Linked DNA regions of Oreochromis niloticus. The protein of the gene in region 1 purifies or fractionates together with the protein of each later gene. This does not show direct contact. Links are inferred from orthologs where the notes say so. Each region holds a gene or a part of one and is shown on either strand. Other genes may lie near its edges.

What was found. The genes of interacting proteins can lie anywhere in the genome.
Region 2: the proteins of poc1a (region 1) and nudc purify together in Homo sapiens (co-immunoprecipitation; 3 studies listed by BioGRID and IntAct, with this or other methods). This does not show direct contact. The link is inferred for Oreochromis niloticus from reciprocal best matches to the Homo sapiens genes POC1A and NUDC.

The regions. Positions count from the first base shown.
Region 1 is NC_031970.2:19,650,629-19,658,519, reverse strand, and holds the start of poc1a (POC1 centriolar protein homolog A), read left to right. Parts: upstream 1-4,875; 5' UTR 4,876-5,219; coding exon 5,220-5,234; intron 5,235-5,830; exon of another isoform or gene 5,831-6,006; intron 6,007-6,907; exon of another isoform or gene 6,908-7,060; coding exon of another isoform or gene 7,061-7,588; exon of another isoform or gene 7,589-7,802; intron 7,803-7,891. Other genes in the region: b9d2 (B9 domain-containing protein 2), read right to left, coding at 7,061-7,588.
Region 2 is NC_031985.2:32,990,224-32,998,025, reverse strand, and holds the start of nudc (nuclear migration protein nudC), read left to right. Parts: upstream 1-4,800; 5' UTR 4,801-4,943; coding exon 4,944-5,018; intron 5,019-5,700; coding exon 5,701-5,778; intron 5,779-5,887; coding exon 5,888-6,097; intron 6,098-6,211; coding exon 6,212-6,283; intron 6,284-6,403; coding exon 6,404-6,517; intron 6,518-7,444; coding exon 7,445-7,639; exon of another isoform or gene 7,640-7,687; intron 7,688-7,729; coding exon 7,730-7,802. UniProt on the Homo sapiens protein: Plays a role in neurogenesis and neuronal migration. Necessary for correct formation of mitotic spindles and chromosome separation during mitosis. Necessary for cytokinesis and cell proliferation.

The sequences.
Region 1 (7,891 bases):
ACTTTCTACATTCACACTCTTTTTTTTTACTGTGAACCTTCGAACCTGCTCACTTGATATTGAATTGCTTGCTCATAATAAGATTGTAAGACAAGTAATCTAATTGTATGGATGTCACATACAGCTGTTGTCTGTCTGTACAATCCTAAGGCAAGATAGTACTATTAAATCAAGGGTTCTCCTGTCAGATTTCTTTTATACACAGTTTTTGGTAGTTAAATTAAATAAATAGAATAAATAAAATGTATACAAACCAGAATGTTTACACAGTAGTCTTTTTAAAATAAATTGACAAATGTCTAAAGCTGCATCGTACCACATGTGTAAATAAAATTTTTTGGACATTTCCTTATTAAATTAAACAAGCATAGCAGAGACAGCAAGGAAATGTGTCTTTAGTTGATTGTTTCTTTGTTGTAATGACACTTCCTGGCAATAAATCTTATACTATTGGAAAGACAGTTTATCTCCCTTTAAATGGTGCCAGAAAACTTCATTTGTGGGTCGAGCAGCAGACTTGAGCATCTGGGTTGTGGCCATGAAAAACTTGCCAAACAATATATCCTCCTATTGATTCCTGTTTGGTGTAGTTTCTTGGATCGGATTAAAGAAGTCTGAATGAATAAGACATACTGGAAATTTAACTCTTTATTCATTTAACAAACAGGGGTCTCAACGGCATGTTTAGGAACCCTAGACAGTCACAACAGCCTGGCATCTGGTCATGCTGGTCACCAGCTTGGTAACACACACTGCTGTGGGATGGCTTCCCATTCTTCAACCAGCATTTGTAATAAGTCAGCCAGTGTGGTTGTGTTGGTCACAGAAGATTCTCAGAGCTGATATACTAAACTTGCTGCTCTGAAGTCAAATACAAAAACATGGAAACACTGTTTAGATCACTGCACATCAACAGAGGTTTGCCGCTGACAGCACTCATGGTACAGGCATAACTGCAGTGTAACAGCCTATGATAAGACGGAGAGTGCTAGAATGTCCTGTGCTCTGAATAAACCCTGAACACTGTTGGCAGAAACTCCAAAGCATGGCGTAATGACACAATCAGCCTCATTGCCTTTAGGGCAATCAGTTCTCTCAGTGCAAGCAAAGGTAACAAGCAGTCTGCAGCCTTGTATATAATGTACACAGCGCTCAAACTAAAAAAGTCTAAATGATCATTTTTAAAAAGAAAATTTGACCCTCCAACCACCGTTAAATACTTACAGTCTTTATCTTGTCTACTTTATGTCTTGAGAGAATGTTTATTTTTTTTAAATTGCAGTTTCTGTTTTGCATTTCGCTGTCAAACCATGTTGTGACAGACACCAGCGCAATGGTGCAGACCAGTGTAGCAATCGTAAAAAGTTGAGTGGATTTACCAGTCTTCACATTTCCTCATTCACGAGGTTTATCATTGTTTCATTTTGGTATCTAAAAATAAACCAGCCGACTAGTCTTACATTGTTGTGATTGCCCCAAAAGCTGATAAACAAAGACGCAAAATTTGCTCTTCCTGGATGTTATGCTTTTCAGGCTTAAGGCATGCCTTTAAACACCTAAAGACAAAGGATGCTGAGGAATGCTTGGCTGCTGCAAGCAATGCATCATTTGAAAATATTTTATGTGTTTTATAAGAGCCGTCAGACATGCGGCTTTCTTCGGAAAGAAGCCAGTTTCCATAACCCACAGAGCGTCGTAGTGCATTTTACGACACTTTTGACCACATGCTTCACCTGTTGTCACCTATCATCAAAGTGGACGTGACAAATGGCTGTGTGACATATAAATGTGTCTTGTAATGACTGTTACTGGTAGAAAAAAAACACCATCACCATCACATCTCAGTTTCCAGGGAATATGATATGATAATGTCTATGATCATTTTTCTGAATAGAATACAAAGGAAAGAGGAACTTCAATTAAGGAAATAATACATCCTTCTACGCTGTCATATTGTAATATTAGTCACAGTGGTTTTGATGACTTTAACTGCCTTTGAGGTATTTAAAATTATTTCAAATGTTAACACATTCGTTAACATTCATTAATATACAAATTATTGACTCTGTCGACAAGACTGCTACAGACTGAGAGTTCACATTAGCTGAGTTAAGGATATAAGGGTTTCATATTTGCAGGGTACATTAGCTCATGCCCCAGCCTAAAGTTTAACAGCTAATCGAATCAAAAGAGTTTATGCACTGGAAAAATCAACCCATAGTTAAAAAAAATAATAATTTTAAAATAAATAAATCTTTAGAAATAAAATATCTGAATAGCTATCAAATTAGCCAGCGTATCCAGATCAGCTCTGGCACAAAGGTGAACTTGTCATTTTGAAGTCTAAGGCCACGTCTCTCTCAGTTGTGTAACACATAACACACAGTGTGCAAATGTAAAGAGCTGGACCTGTTGAAACTTTGCCTGTGTTAAGCCAGCTGTTGCCCCATGCTACGGTCCCCACAGCTTCCTCTCTCACTGCGCATCAAAAGGCTCTGTGTTTGACAAAAAGGCCCATTCGAAACTCCAAACAGGAGTCGAGAACCCCATGAGATAAAACACACACCATGAAAAACATCCTCCCGCTGCACTGAAAAGGAAACTGTTTCTGTAGACAAAGCTCTGATTATTCATCGCAGCTATATCCTACTACCCTTAAACTGCGCACACATGCGCTGATAAGACATGCTCAGTTTTCAGATAGACGTATGAATATTTACTGCCCTGTAAACGTGCTGCATGATTCTCTGTATCACGCAGGAGCAAGTAAACTGTGCTGAGTTTAAGTGTCTAGCTGCAGTGAGAAGAATTTCAGATTGTTTTTCTGTTTCTCTTCCTTGTTCCTTCTCATCACAGTCATCAGTCACCTACTGGAATCTTAGGATTATACAAGGTGGTGCAATCAGTGCTGTCCCCATATGCAAACAACACTTATTTATAAGCTATTAACAGTGATGAATTACATTGTATGAGAACGCTTTAGCGGAGAATGCATTGTTAAAGTGTAGTGTACAGACAGTAAACCTGTGGGTGTGTCTTTGTTTAGTTTACTGTAACTAAATGTATGAGGGCTGCGGCAAATACAAACTGTTTCCTTTGTTGATTGAATTAAACGCCTTAAAACCGATAGAAACCAGTGCCGGCTTCTATTGTAGGCTGCTGTAGTCATTTTACTTTAATGTCAGTGGTCACTGTAACCTGCTTCGGTGTTCCATCAGGAAGGATATCTGGTGTAAAACTCTGCCAAATTAAATAAGCAGGGAAGATGAAACCATTTTTAAAAAACATGCTCACTGTGTCCTCAAAACTACATATATAGCCATAACATATAAAGATTCTTATATTATTGCTGACATTACCCCAAAATAAGTTGTTTAAAATCTTCCCCCCCCCCTTTCCTGGATTTTCTTGTACTTCTACCACCATCTTTGCTTTTCATTGCTTCACATCTCTCATAGTTTCTCATGTTTTGAGTGCTGCACCTCTCTCTCTTACAGTAACCCTGCTGCAGCTTCACGAGATGCCTTACATTTGAACCATTTAAGCAACTTCTGGAAAGAAGTGTGGCTAGGTAAATCATTTTACTTACAATTTTTAAACAAGTGTCTCTAGAGTGTGCAGCAGATTGCACTGCCTTGCTTTTGTGAGTTTGCTTTAAAGAAAAGGAAAAAAAGAAACATGACATCATACTGTAAAAACAATGTGAAAATAACATAATTATAGCTGGTAATGCTGAATAACTATGTGGTGATATTTGTATTGCATTACTGGTATTTGTGGTATAAATGACTGGCCATGTGACAAACCTTATGGTTGAAAAAGGCCATGGGTGGGGATTTAGTTGAAGAATGAGTTTATGTACACATTGAATAAGTAAGCAGAGAAGAATAACTCTTAAATTAATTATCCTTCAGTTTTAGTTTATGTGTTGGATTTTTACTCCATCAATCCGTTCTAAATATTTGCATCCCTGTGCTTACTGTTATTTGAATGTTTAACTTCCCGGATTACTTCTGCTAAAATGACATCATGATCTGACCTGTTCTCAGGAATGTATCTCTAATCTTTGCTATGGTGACAGGTTTGCTGTACGTCAGTAGCTGTGATTCAGTAGAGTGGGGTTACTCACTGTTATTAGCTGGTTTTGACCATCAAATGTTAGGTGACACAGGCAATGAGTGGCTTACCACGTCTCAATGGCAATTCCCACAGACTCCAGGTCACATTTAAATTCATTAGTTATATCCATAGTCATTATTTCTGTTAAATACTTCCAAGATGATTTTTTCTAAATTTTATGTATGAGTGTTTTCAAAATCTTCACAATGAAAAAAGTGCACACTGAATGTGACAAGTGTTTTTCACAGGAGACATTCTGACGTGCCACAAAACCACAAATGTAGTTACCTAGTGTGTACCTGGGAAACCTGTAAAAGACAGTGCCATTGTCATAGTTATCAGGAACACCAACACCTTTCTTATTGGTCATAATGTGACCTGTTGTGGTTCGGCAGACTCAGTCAAAGGAGCCAAAATACTGTATTTGGGTCTAGTAGAGTGGCTCATGTTTAGCCTGATCAGTACTGAAGTAAAATACAGTTATTTTTCATCAGCCTTCACATATCTTATTCTTTACTGAAAATGTTCCGGGATTATATTTTAAGACTATATTTGCACAAGCAGGCGACAGCAAAACCCACGTCAAAGGCCTTCATGTACTTAGCTGCATAAAGCTGATTTACAACTCTGTCTAGTGTACCTCTGCTGACACCTGGTGGCAACTATGAGTTACTACACCTCAAAAAATCGGCCTGATATTGAATTTACCGGGTAACTTATCCTAACGGAACAGCATCACATGAACAATTTTGTAAAACCTGTGTGGATTTTATTTGGCTATATTTCATATCGTTTAAATACTTTGACGTTAATAGTAAAATGAGAGTTTCGACAGAAACTTTGCTAACGGGATGACTGCCCCTTTAAGAGCGGCGACCAGCTGCTCAGCGCCCAATCGCGGCGCGTAAACTGAACTTTGTTGTTGTCAGCAACTAAGCGCTAACTGTTAGCTAGCGTTAGCCGGCCACCGAGCTAAAGAGGTGATATCTCGCATCCCATTCGTCCTAATACCGGAGGAAAGCACGGTAAAATTTAGCTTGGACGGCTACGACCGTAAACAAGTCGCTTCCATCAGGATTTCGCCTCCGATATCAACAAAAATGACATCTGCGCTGGTGAGTTTAACCTGCTGCTTGAGCCACTGAGATGAAGTTCGTTTCTTATTTGTATTTTCCACAATGTGCCTTCTTGGTTACGAGTTAAAGGCTGATATATCTGTAGATTTATTGCAATACATTATATATATTTTTTATTTGGTATGGTCCCCTTTCTTTTTGCAGCTTGTTTTAGCTTTATTTAGAGCAAGAGCAGATTATAAATCGGGGTAATTTTACTCTTAGTCTTGATTAAATGTCTGTGAAGTCGTTGCAAAGTGACTCATTACTCAGTCTGCTGCGTGTTCAATGTAATATATACATTTATACTAATGTAACAACCAGCCTGTGTAGTCGTGACAGCCACATATGTTATGTAAATGATACACTGAAAGTTTAATGGTATCGTTTTACTCATTTGTCATGATCTAAGTTGCCTTTGCAGATTAAATGTATCATTTTGCAGTCAAAGTGACTAACAAGCAATTAATATGCCAACAATCTGATATTCTGTGTACGGTAATTACAGTATATTGAAGTTATGAGAAAAGACAAAACGATAGAGTCATTTATGCCACTACACTCACTGTCCACTATATTAGGTGCACCTCGCAAGTGCTGGGTTGAGCGGCCTTTTTGCCTTGAGAGCTGCCTTAATTCTTTGTGTGAAGCTGGAAAAATTCCTCTGAGGTTTTGGTCCATATTGACATGATCGCTTCAGGCAGTTGCTGCAGACTTTTCGGCTGCACATCCATGATGAGAATCTCGTGCTCCACCACATCCCAAAGGTGCTCTGTTGGATTAAGATCTGAGTAAGTGAACATGGTGCATAAAACCCCTGAAAGCAGCCTTCAGAAGATGGGTACACTGTGGCCATGCTGAATGTGATCAGCAACAACCTCAAGTAGGCTGAGGTGTTTAAATGATGCTCAATTGTTAATAAGGGGCCCAAAGCGTGGCATGAAAATATCCCACACAACTTTTAACTTGTAACAGTGTTACATGTTGTGTAGCCTATGTGCTTCAAGGCTCAACAAGTTGTGCATTCAGAGATGCTTGTAACCAGTGACAAACAAACAAGAAAACAAGCTTATTTTAAGTTTGCATAAACTAAACCTCATTTTGAAGAAAGGATGGTCAAAGCCTCTCTTTGATGAACTCCAAGAGTAACTCATAAGACACTATGACAATAGATATTCTGTGCAATACAGTCATGCACCATACACCACAGTATCTGGTAACTGAAGGAAAAAAAATATACTCTTTAAAAGTCTCTCCAGTTCTTTCCTTGTGAGGTTGTTGTTGTTAATATGAAGTAAGATAACTCATTTTATAATTTTCTTAAAAAGTAGTGACTGGTGCCAGACTAGCAGGGAACTCCTACATCTTTTGATAAACAATATTTGCTGCCAGTGAATGGCTCACACTTGGAACCAAAATGATACATTTCAGTATAGTATTTGCCCCTACTCCTAATCTGTAGCAGGCTATTAATGACTTAATCCAAGTAACAATCCTGTTAGTCGTACAACTTAAAATCCAAAATAAAAAGTAAATGTGGCTTTACATAATATAATATAACAATGCATTTAAGAAAGCAGCATTAAATGAGGCGTGGTTGCACGGAATATCGCTAATAAGAGCCAGTTTTATATTATTTTTATATTAAAAATACAAATCAGCAAGAAACCAACTTCAGTAAGAGAATATTTTCTTTATTTACATATAGTTTGTAAAAAATAGTGTAGTTAAGAAAAAAAAAATAGTACAGAATTCTACTAAAAGCAAGTGACTCAAATATGATCTATAAAAGTTTCTATTTTCTGTCTTTCTGCCATTTCAAAATCTCAACACTCGACACCATATTTGTCAAAGTGTCTCGTGATGATGCCCAGCTCCAGCTCCACAGTCCCCATGGCTTCGGTGTGCAGTCTGTATCTGTCCGCCCCGCTGTAGATCAGGTCAGGGCTGAGGAGCTGGGGACCTCCGCCGACGAACATTTGCGCCAGCCGTTCTTGCCAGGAGCCCACAGGCCTCCAGGTCGCACAGCTTATTCGGTGATGTCCCGGACTAGAAGGGACGTGGCAGAAACCATAACCATAGAGTTGGCACCGTCCGAAAGAATCCTGATGCCACACCTCTAGGTGAATCTTCGGCCAGCCTTGCAGCCCTTTGGTCGCGTAGTGCAGATCGATCGGGTGGCTCCAGTACGCTATGTCTCCGATTTGGGGGCTATCCACCTGGGTCTGACCCTCCTTCAGCCCGGATAAAAGCCGCCATGCTTCTCCCGTATGAATTCCCCATTTGCAAAACAAAGTCTTTTCCGGGAAACCACTTGCACCAATGATCTGCCCTATAATGTGCAGCTCTGCCATGTCACACTGGTTCTCTTTAACCAGAAAATGTGGCACGGAAAGTCCTGTTTTGTCTCTCCGATGTTAACGGCTAGCTTAGCGGCTAGCTAAACTAACGGCTAAACGTCTCCTTGGTAACCGCCTACCGTGATTTGCTATATAGCCATATACCCCCTGAGTTCGGCCTCGCAGGCACCACTTCCGGTACGAATCCCGTCCAACATTATGAAGACCCAAAGCTTCACCTTTATAAAGTTGTTTGTCATTAATGAATAATTAATTTTCACTAATTATAATATTGGCAATATTATTCCTGATCTATAA
Region 2 (7,802 bases), on another chromosome or scaffold:
CTGTGTGTAGATATTTCTGATTCATAAATGTTATGTTTGTGTTTGAAGGATTGCTTAATGGGGAGCTTGCCCTGCAGGCAGACGTCATCAGCAGCTCTTAGGTGTTGTATCATACATGTTGTATAACCGTCCCCTCGTCCTTGAAGGAGTTAGGATCCTAAGAGCTCGCTCTCATTTTACTCTTAGATTTAAAGTTTGTCGTTGGTGTTTCTGTTGTTTTGCACATTTCACATGCCTTCATTATCATTGATTTGATTTGATGAGTATATTTTTGCTTTCAGTTTTGTGGTTATGTCGCAAATATATAGTTAATGAGTCTACATAATGTTCTGATAGTTTCCAGAATTTGAATAATTTCAGATTGGCTAAGGGAAGCACCTGGATGGTGTCACTGCATACTTTCTGTGTAGAGGAAAAGTAGAGTTTTCATTGTAACTGTATTGTGTTTCGTTAAGTCCAATTGGAAATACAAGTTGAAGGCTGCAAAAAAAAAAAGCCTTCACCTGTCTTTTTTTTAATATTTCATATCATTAGTTAATATTCAGACAACATGGAATGTGTTTTTTGTTTTGTTTTTTTCAGATCAGTTTATTATTTGTTTCAAAACATGAAGTTTATACCAAGCTGATAACTCAGAAGCTCATATCTTAACTGTGTGTTGGATACATTTTGATTGTGACTGTTTTACCGTTTGCTTTCAATTATCAAATATTATATGAGCCAGCGTGATCTGCAGCTACACTTTAGGTTGTATCGTGTGCCGTAACTTATTAGCGATGTTTATCCCAAGCTGACTCATGAAGTGAAGGTGTGTTTTCATGACAACAAATGTAATGGCTGTATTTACCCCCGGGTCCTGACGGGGATTTTCCCAGCTGAGTCACTGAGTCCATTTTTTTTTTTTTCCCTTTAGCATTATCAGTTTATGGTTACAGTTGTTAAGGAACATAACTGTAGTAATTTAATACAAATGGTAAACTAGTTCACGTATTCCACACAATGTGTCACCCACGATCTGTTTTACTTGCATGTGTAAAGAATAACAATTTTTTGTAGTCTTTCTGTAAAATCTACCAGAATACTTGAGGTTTTTGTAGAGCCCAACCCCAGCATGGTTAGAATGGAATGACGGGAAACTTGTTCTGGTTTGGACCATGAAGGCCAAAATTTAGAAGAAGTAATGAATTGCTGACTATATCTATCGAACTATACTTCTTACTTTACTGAAAGGGTTGAATTGTCTGGTGAAGCCTTTTGCATTTTGTTGCTAATGACACATTATAGCTGTAGCAGATCGAATGTTTGGGTGTTTCTCTTTGTTTTGTTTTTTTGTTTTTCAGCAGAAATATGTTGTATCAGGAACTAATTTCTGATATCAGATGTGTCTTTTTTAATAAACCAATAAAGATTATGAAGTGGAACAAAAACAGGATGTTTTGTTTGTCACATAGAGTATGATGGCCACATGAGGGAGTCAGAGCGTGCATTATTTTTGACAGTCTTTTCTCTCTTTCTTTCTCTGCTGGAGTTCCTGCATAATCCTAGCTAAGAATAAGATCATGTGTTTTCAGATTTGTTGTTTATTTATTTAAGTATAATATTGACATAAGCAGCCATTGGGGGGGGGTTGTGATTTTCCTGACACTTGTATGAACACTACATTAAGTCTTTGTGGACAAAAAGCATCTCTCTTAATAAATGTAACATTTTTGTATTGCTTACAAGGTTAGCTTATTAAAAAAATGTTGTACTCACAAATATACAATGATTAGTGTATAATTATGTCTTCAAACAAATTGTTCACAGCCATCTTAAAAACAGTGGAGGAGATGGACTTTGCATTTCCATTTAATTGCGTTTTATGTAACTAGACACCGGCCACATAAGTACTATGCCATAAGTTACTTTTCATTTAAAGATCACAAATAACCCTTTAAAACTCTGTATTACCCTTTAACAAAGAGATATTTTCATCATCTCTTTCTCTTTAGGTCTTTCTCCCTCTCCACCACTGCTCTCTTGCACTTAAATTGCGAAGGATAAGAAGTTATAATTCAGTTCACTGCAATCTGCAACCTACTGATATCTAGCAGTGGTATTTTACACACTGTATCTTTAAGCCCTAAGCTCATGCACAGATGTTCACTAATCATATCAAACAAATCCAAAAGGGAGCGACATAAAACAGATCCGACAGATATCAGACACAAGAAAATCAAAGTAGAGACAAACTAAAAATAATGAAATTTCATACAAGAAATTGACAGGAAAACAGCTAACTTACGAAAGGAATGATGTAAGCACAGCTAGGGGAAGGTGAGTACACAGGTAATTGCTCAGGTACTGAAAAGACAGAAAACAAAACAAATAGTGTCTAATAGGATATGTTTGTGCATTTAACATTTAACGTTGAATTTGACATCTGACTATGCTAAAAGCTATGATTAACGGGAATGAGCACTCTGCTATGTTTCGCATCTAATGTGTTGTGGTCGTACTCCCCATCCTTTCCAGCTCTATCACATTTCCCCCTCTGTTGTCGTCAAATAATGGATTGCTCTTGAGACCACAGTCACCTAGCAATATGAAGCAAACAACTGGGGATCAACCTCATTAGCTGTCAAGTATGTCTGGACTTATGTCTCCATTAAGGCGAAATTATCGCTGCCGAGACACCGTTATGTAGTCTATGCACCGCATTTTAGTTACCTACTATACTTTGAAGATGAGGTGTGCTGTATGGTGCTTACCTACAGAAAAAAGAAAACCTATGGAAAACACTGAAACAAGACAAAATTACAGTATGCACTGTCTGCTATGTGCTATGTTCTCCTATATGTATTGAAAAGCTACTGAATATACAAGAGGGAAATTAATAAAATTATTCAACCAATAATCACATGAGCCTTTGAGACAACACAGTCTTATATTATATTATATTATATTATATTATATTGTCCTATCTTAGCACTGCTGATGCTGTTTTTGCTATGCCAGCCTTTGCTGTAAACTTTTAAAGTGGTCTTGAGCAATAGTTCTAGTTTTTCATTGTTTCATTCAGTGGGTTTTTTTGTTTTGTTGTTTGTTTGTTTTGTTTTTGTTAAGTTACTTAAGGCTAACCTATGAATCATTTAAGCATAGAAAAAAGCATTTAAGAGATGAACCACTATTGGGAACCACTGTTGTGTCTACACTAGTGCTGTCAGCGTTAATCTCGTTAAAATGATGTTAACGCCATAACCGCATTAATGTGGCAAATCTCCGTTTGTGAGTTAACGCGGATCGGCCCATGCGTGGGGCTGCATGGCGTCAACACGTTAGTGAGCTAACCGCGCTAACACGTTGACGTCGTGTGGAAGGAGTTGAGTGAGGCCATGGAAAAAGACTTTCAGTCTGTAGAGAAGTGATTCTGACAAACCATCTGGTGATTCAGGAGGGGAAATTAGTGCTCTGCTCACATGTGAATAATGCAAGTGGAGTGGTGCTGACTTCAACTGATATAGGCAAGCAGTGGAAGAAATACTTTAAGGACCTCCTTAATCCCATTTACACATTTTCTGTAGAGGAAGTAAAGTCGAGTGGGATGATTGATCCATCACTGGGGGCAAGTTCACTGAGGTAGTTCAACAGCTCCTTGGTAGCAGGGTCTGTGGGGTGGATGAGTTCTTTAAAACCTTGGCTGTTGTAGGGCTGTCTTGGTTGACACGCCTCTGGAATGTTGTGTGGAGATCTGGGGTGGTGCGTCTGAACTGGCAGACTAGGGTGGTGATTCCTATCTTTAGGAAGAAGGACCAGAGGGTGTGCTCCAACTACATGAGGATCATACTCCTCAGCCTCAGTGAGAAGAACTATGCCAGGCTACTGGAAAGGAGAGTTCATCTACTAGTCGAACCTCGGATTCAGGATGGACAACAGTTTGAGGCCATTGTCCTCAGCTGGAAAAGGGTGGAGTGCCCACTCCAGGTCAGGGAAAAGATTCTGCCCCAAGTGGAGGAATTTAAGTATATCAGGATCTTGTTCATGAGTAAGATGGGTAGTGCAGGTGCAGTGATGTAAACTGTCTGTTGTGATGAAGCGAGAGCTAAGTGTAAAGGCAAAGCTGTTGATTAACAGGGGATCTACATCCCTACTCTTACCTAAGATTACAAGCTTTGGGTAGTGACTGAAACAATGAGATCGCAGATACAAGTGACACCAGTAAGCTTTCTCAAAAAGTTGTCTGACCTCTTCCTTAGAGATAGGATAAGGAGTTTGGTTATTCAAGCAGGTTTCACAGTAGAGCTGCTACTCCAATGTGCCTAGAGTGCCTCCGAGGTGTTACAGGCATGCATATCCTACCAGGAGCAGGCCCCAGGTAGACCCAAGACGCACTAGAGAGATTATTTTTTTCAGCTCGCCTGGAAATGCCCCTGGATAAGGTGGAGTTTAACTAAGGTTGGAAATTTGACTTTTTATATTTTCATCTTACTTTTTATGGCATATTTTATACTTGTTTATGTCTGTGATTGTGTTTAAAAAAAAGAAGAACAAGTAGCTGCTTAAACCTCCATTTTCCAGCAAATTGCACCTATTATTTCTACCTATCCGCGATAACATGGCAGCAGGCTAGATTTTATTATTATTTTATTCCAATATGTTAAACGATTAGCATTCAACTGAATAAATTTAAAGTTTCAATCATAGATCCGTTCTCTTCTCTAGAATATTCTTACTCTTCAAATAAGCCCGAGTCCCGCCCTAAAACAGCGCCTTCCATTTATTGGGTGCCTTAGCTATCAATAATAGTGTGTTGCTCCAATTGGTCGAAACTAGAGCAAGAAGGGGGTTGTTTCCAGGAAGTGTTCAGCGTGACTCTCACAGAACAGCTTTGCTTTCTTTCTAACAGAACCTGCTTTGCTTGATTTTTGCGCCGGTGTTCCGATTCCGTTTCTCAGTCAGTCAGCATGGGTGAAGATGAAGAAAAATATGACGGCATGTTGCTTGTTATGGCGCAGCAACACGAAGGAGGGGTACAAGAGGTAAAGCAGTGCATCGCCGTGCTAACATGCTAAAGCTACTGTACTAACGCTAACGTGGTTAGCCTGTAAGCTAGTATGTACACCGTGCCTATGAGCAGTCACAAACACGCACAAAAAAATGAATGTTTTTAACTGTTTTGCAAAGTTTAGAAAATGATTTTGTTATTAATAACCATGGCTTTCGTGGACTAGCTTAGCTGCAAGCTGCGGAGTGTTCTGGTGAATTTGGCATACATGTGACTAAGAAGGCAGCACAACTTAGCAAAAAATGAACTTAGTTCTGTTTGAGCATGTCTATTAGATGGTCCATGTTCCTGATAGAAACTGTTAAAAGTAATGTTAGTTCTACAAGTAAGTTTTGTACTGTAGTAATGTGACGCTGTGCCCTGGACGGGTGAAGGTTCTGGAAGAAAATATATTTGCTAAAAAGAGACCTGCTGTTATGAGGAAAAGGTGAAAGATGTGATCTGGAAACTGATGAAGCGAAATGAATGTTTGGTTACAATGATGTTTTTTACGAGTGGTGATCACAGAGACACCCAGCACAGAAAAGGAAGGCTCTCCAATCCAAGCAGTAATTTATTTCAGTCCAGTCTCGTCAACACAGTCATAAGTCCATAATAAAGCTGTAATCTGTTATATGGATTTTGTAACTTATTCTTGACCTATTTTCTATCAACAGTTAGTAAACACATTTTTCAGCTTCCTCCGCCGCAAAACTGATTTCTTCACTGGTGGTGATTCAGGTGCAGCAGAGAAGGTGAGCATTGCTGTTCCATTTATACCTCGTGTCACATTCAAGATTTCAGTGATAAACACAGAACTCCACCCATCCCTCAGTTTTAATTGAAATCCCCTATGTTCTTCAGCTCGTCAAGGATGCCTTTGCTCACCACAGCAAGTTGGCGCTGAAGGCCCAGAAAGAGAAGCAGATGAAACAAGAGAAAGAAAAAAGAGAAAAAGCTGAAAGAGCGGCCAAGCTTGCAGAGGAGGAGAAGAAAAAGAAGAATGACGACGGTCCAAGAATCCAGGAGCTGACAGACGAGGAAGCAGAGAAGCTTCAGACTGAACTTGATAAGGTGAAATACGGATTTTCTCATTTTCTGTCACCAGTGTGTCTCTGAAATGGTTAAATTAAACTCTGAACTGTTATGTCTGTTACTTAACTTTATGTCTGGCTTTTTTTATGCTAGAAAAAGAAGGAAGAGGAGAATACAGCGGCGGCAGCAGAGATGTCATCTGACAAAGCTGAGAAAGAGAAAGGCGTGAGTGAGGAGTTTGACATGTACCTTATTACTTAGTGTTGACTAAGCAGTAAAATGAAGTGCACTTAATGTTTTTTTTTTTAATTAACGCTTATTCATGTTCATTTTCTTTTCCTTCAGTCGGACTCTGAAGGAGAGGAGGATGAGAAAGACAAAGATAAACTGAAGCCTAATTCGGGAAATGGAGCTGACCTGCCCAACTACAAGTGGACACAGACCCTGTCTGAAGTTGATGTGAGTTTTTTCTGGTTTCAGCATCATGCTGGACTTTACCTCTTCTCAGCTTGTGTTTACTGAACATCTGAATGGTTCTTTGAGCATCTCTTACCCCTCAGCTTCTCACCATACGTACAGCTCCATCATAATGTTGTTATTACAGCTCAGTAATGTCACCTTTGCCTGAGTTTGCCAGATGGATAGCACAATATTAAAACCATCTTAATGTTTCCTGTGCATTGCCCTGTGCCTCTTTCTTTCAAGTGATGTGTTTCCTTAAACAGCATGTGCCAGAACACATTTGTATTTGTTTTCCATTGGACTCTGCAGAAGGGAAAAATGACACTGCTCTTTTTATGTGAATTCTACATTATTATTCCTTCCAGTTTTATTCAGATATGCCAAGACTGTTGTGGAAAGAGTCAGAATGCATACAGAATACTGGATAAATAAAAGGTGCTGGAAGTTGTCTTAAATGTCTTTTAACATCTGCCATTACATTTGAGTACCACCTAATGTGTTTGGGGTTGTTATAGCAACATGCAAGAAAGTTCCGTGACATCATTTGTACGCGACACAAGCGCAAAAATGGAGGGTGTCGACCTAATCTTATACCTCCTGCTCGGTGCATGACTCAGAGACCACAGTGTTGTTTCTTGTGTGGCCATATTCCTCGTTGCCAGGTTTCAAGGGCAGTTTTAATTTTCGTAAGGCGACACTGTCGTAAGTGATTGGCTAGTCAGTGGTACCACACAATCAGTGGCATGCAGTCTGTTGGAATCACATTATCAGATCTACCGAGATCACCGAGAGCAGTGGAATTTCTTTTCTTTTTTTTCTGTGCAGACGAGAGTTTTATAAGCTTATAAGAACACATGTGCGCCTCTACTTGCGATTTAGTGCACATGTGTAATTAAAATATTAATGATTAAACTCCTCCCACAGGTGGCAGTGCCCTTTAGTGTGAACTTTCGCATTAAGGGCAAAGATGTAGTTGTGGACATCCAGCGGCGCTCCATCAAAGTGGGCCTGAAAGGACATCCTCCAGTTATTGATGGCCAACTCTACAACGAGGTGAAGGTAGAGGAGAGCTCCTGGCTCATCGATGATGGCAAGGTGGTTACTGTCCACTTGGAAAAGGTAAGAAGACGTGTAGATGTGTGGCACACTGTGGAATTATTCAGTCAACTGGAGAGAGAGAGAGTGTGTCAAATCGTATTTTGATTTCAGATTAACAAAATGGAGTGGTGGAGCAAGATCGTCACTACAGATCCTGAAATTAACACCAAGAAAGTCTGTCCCG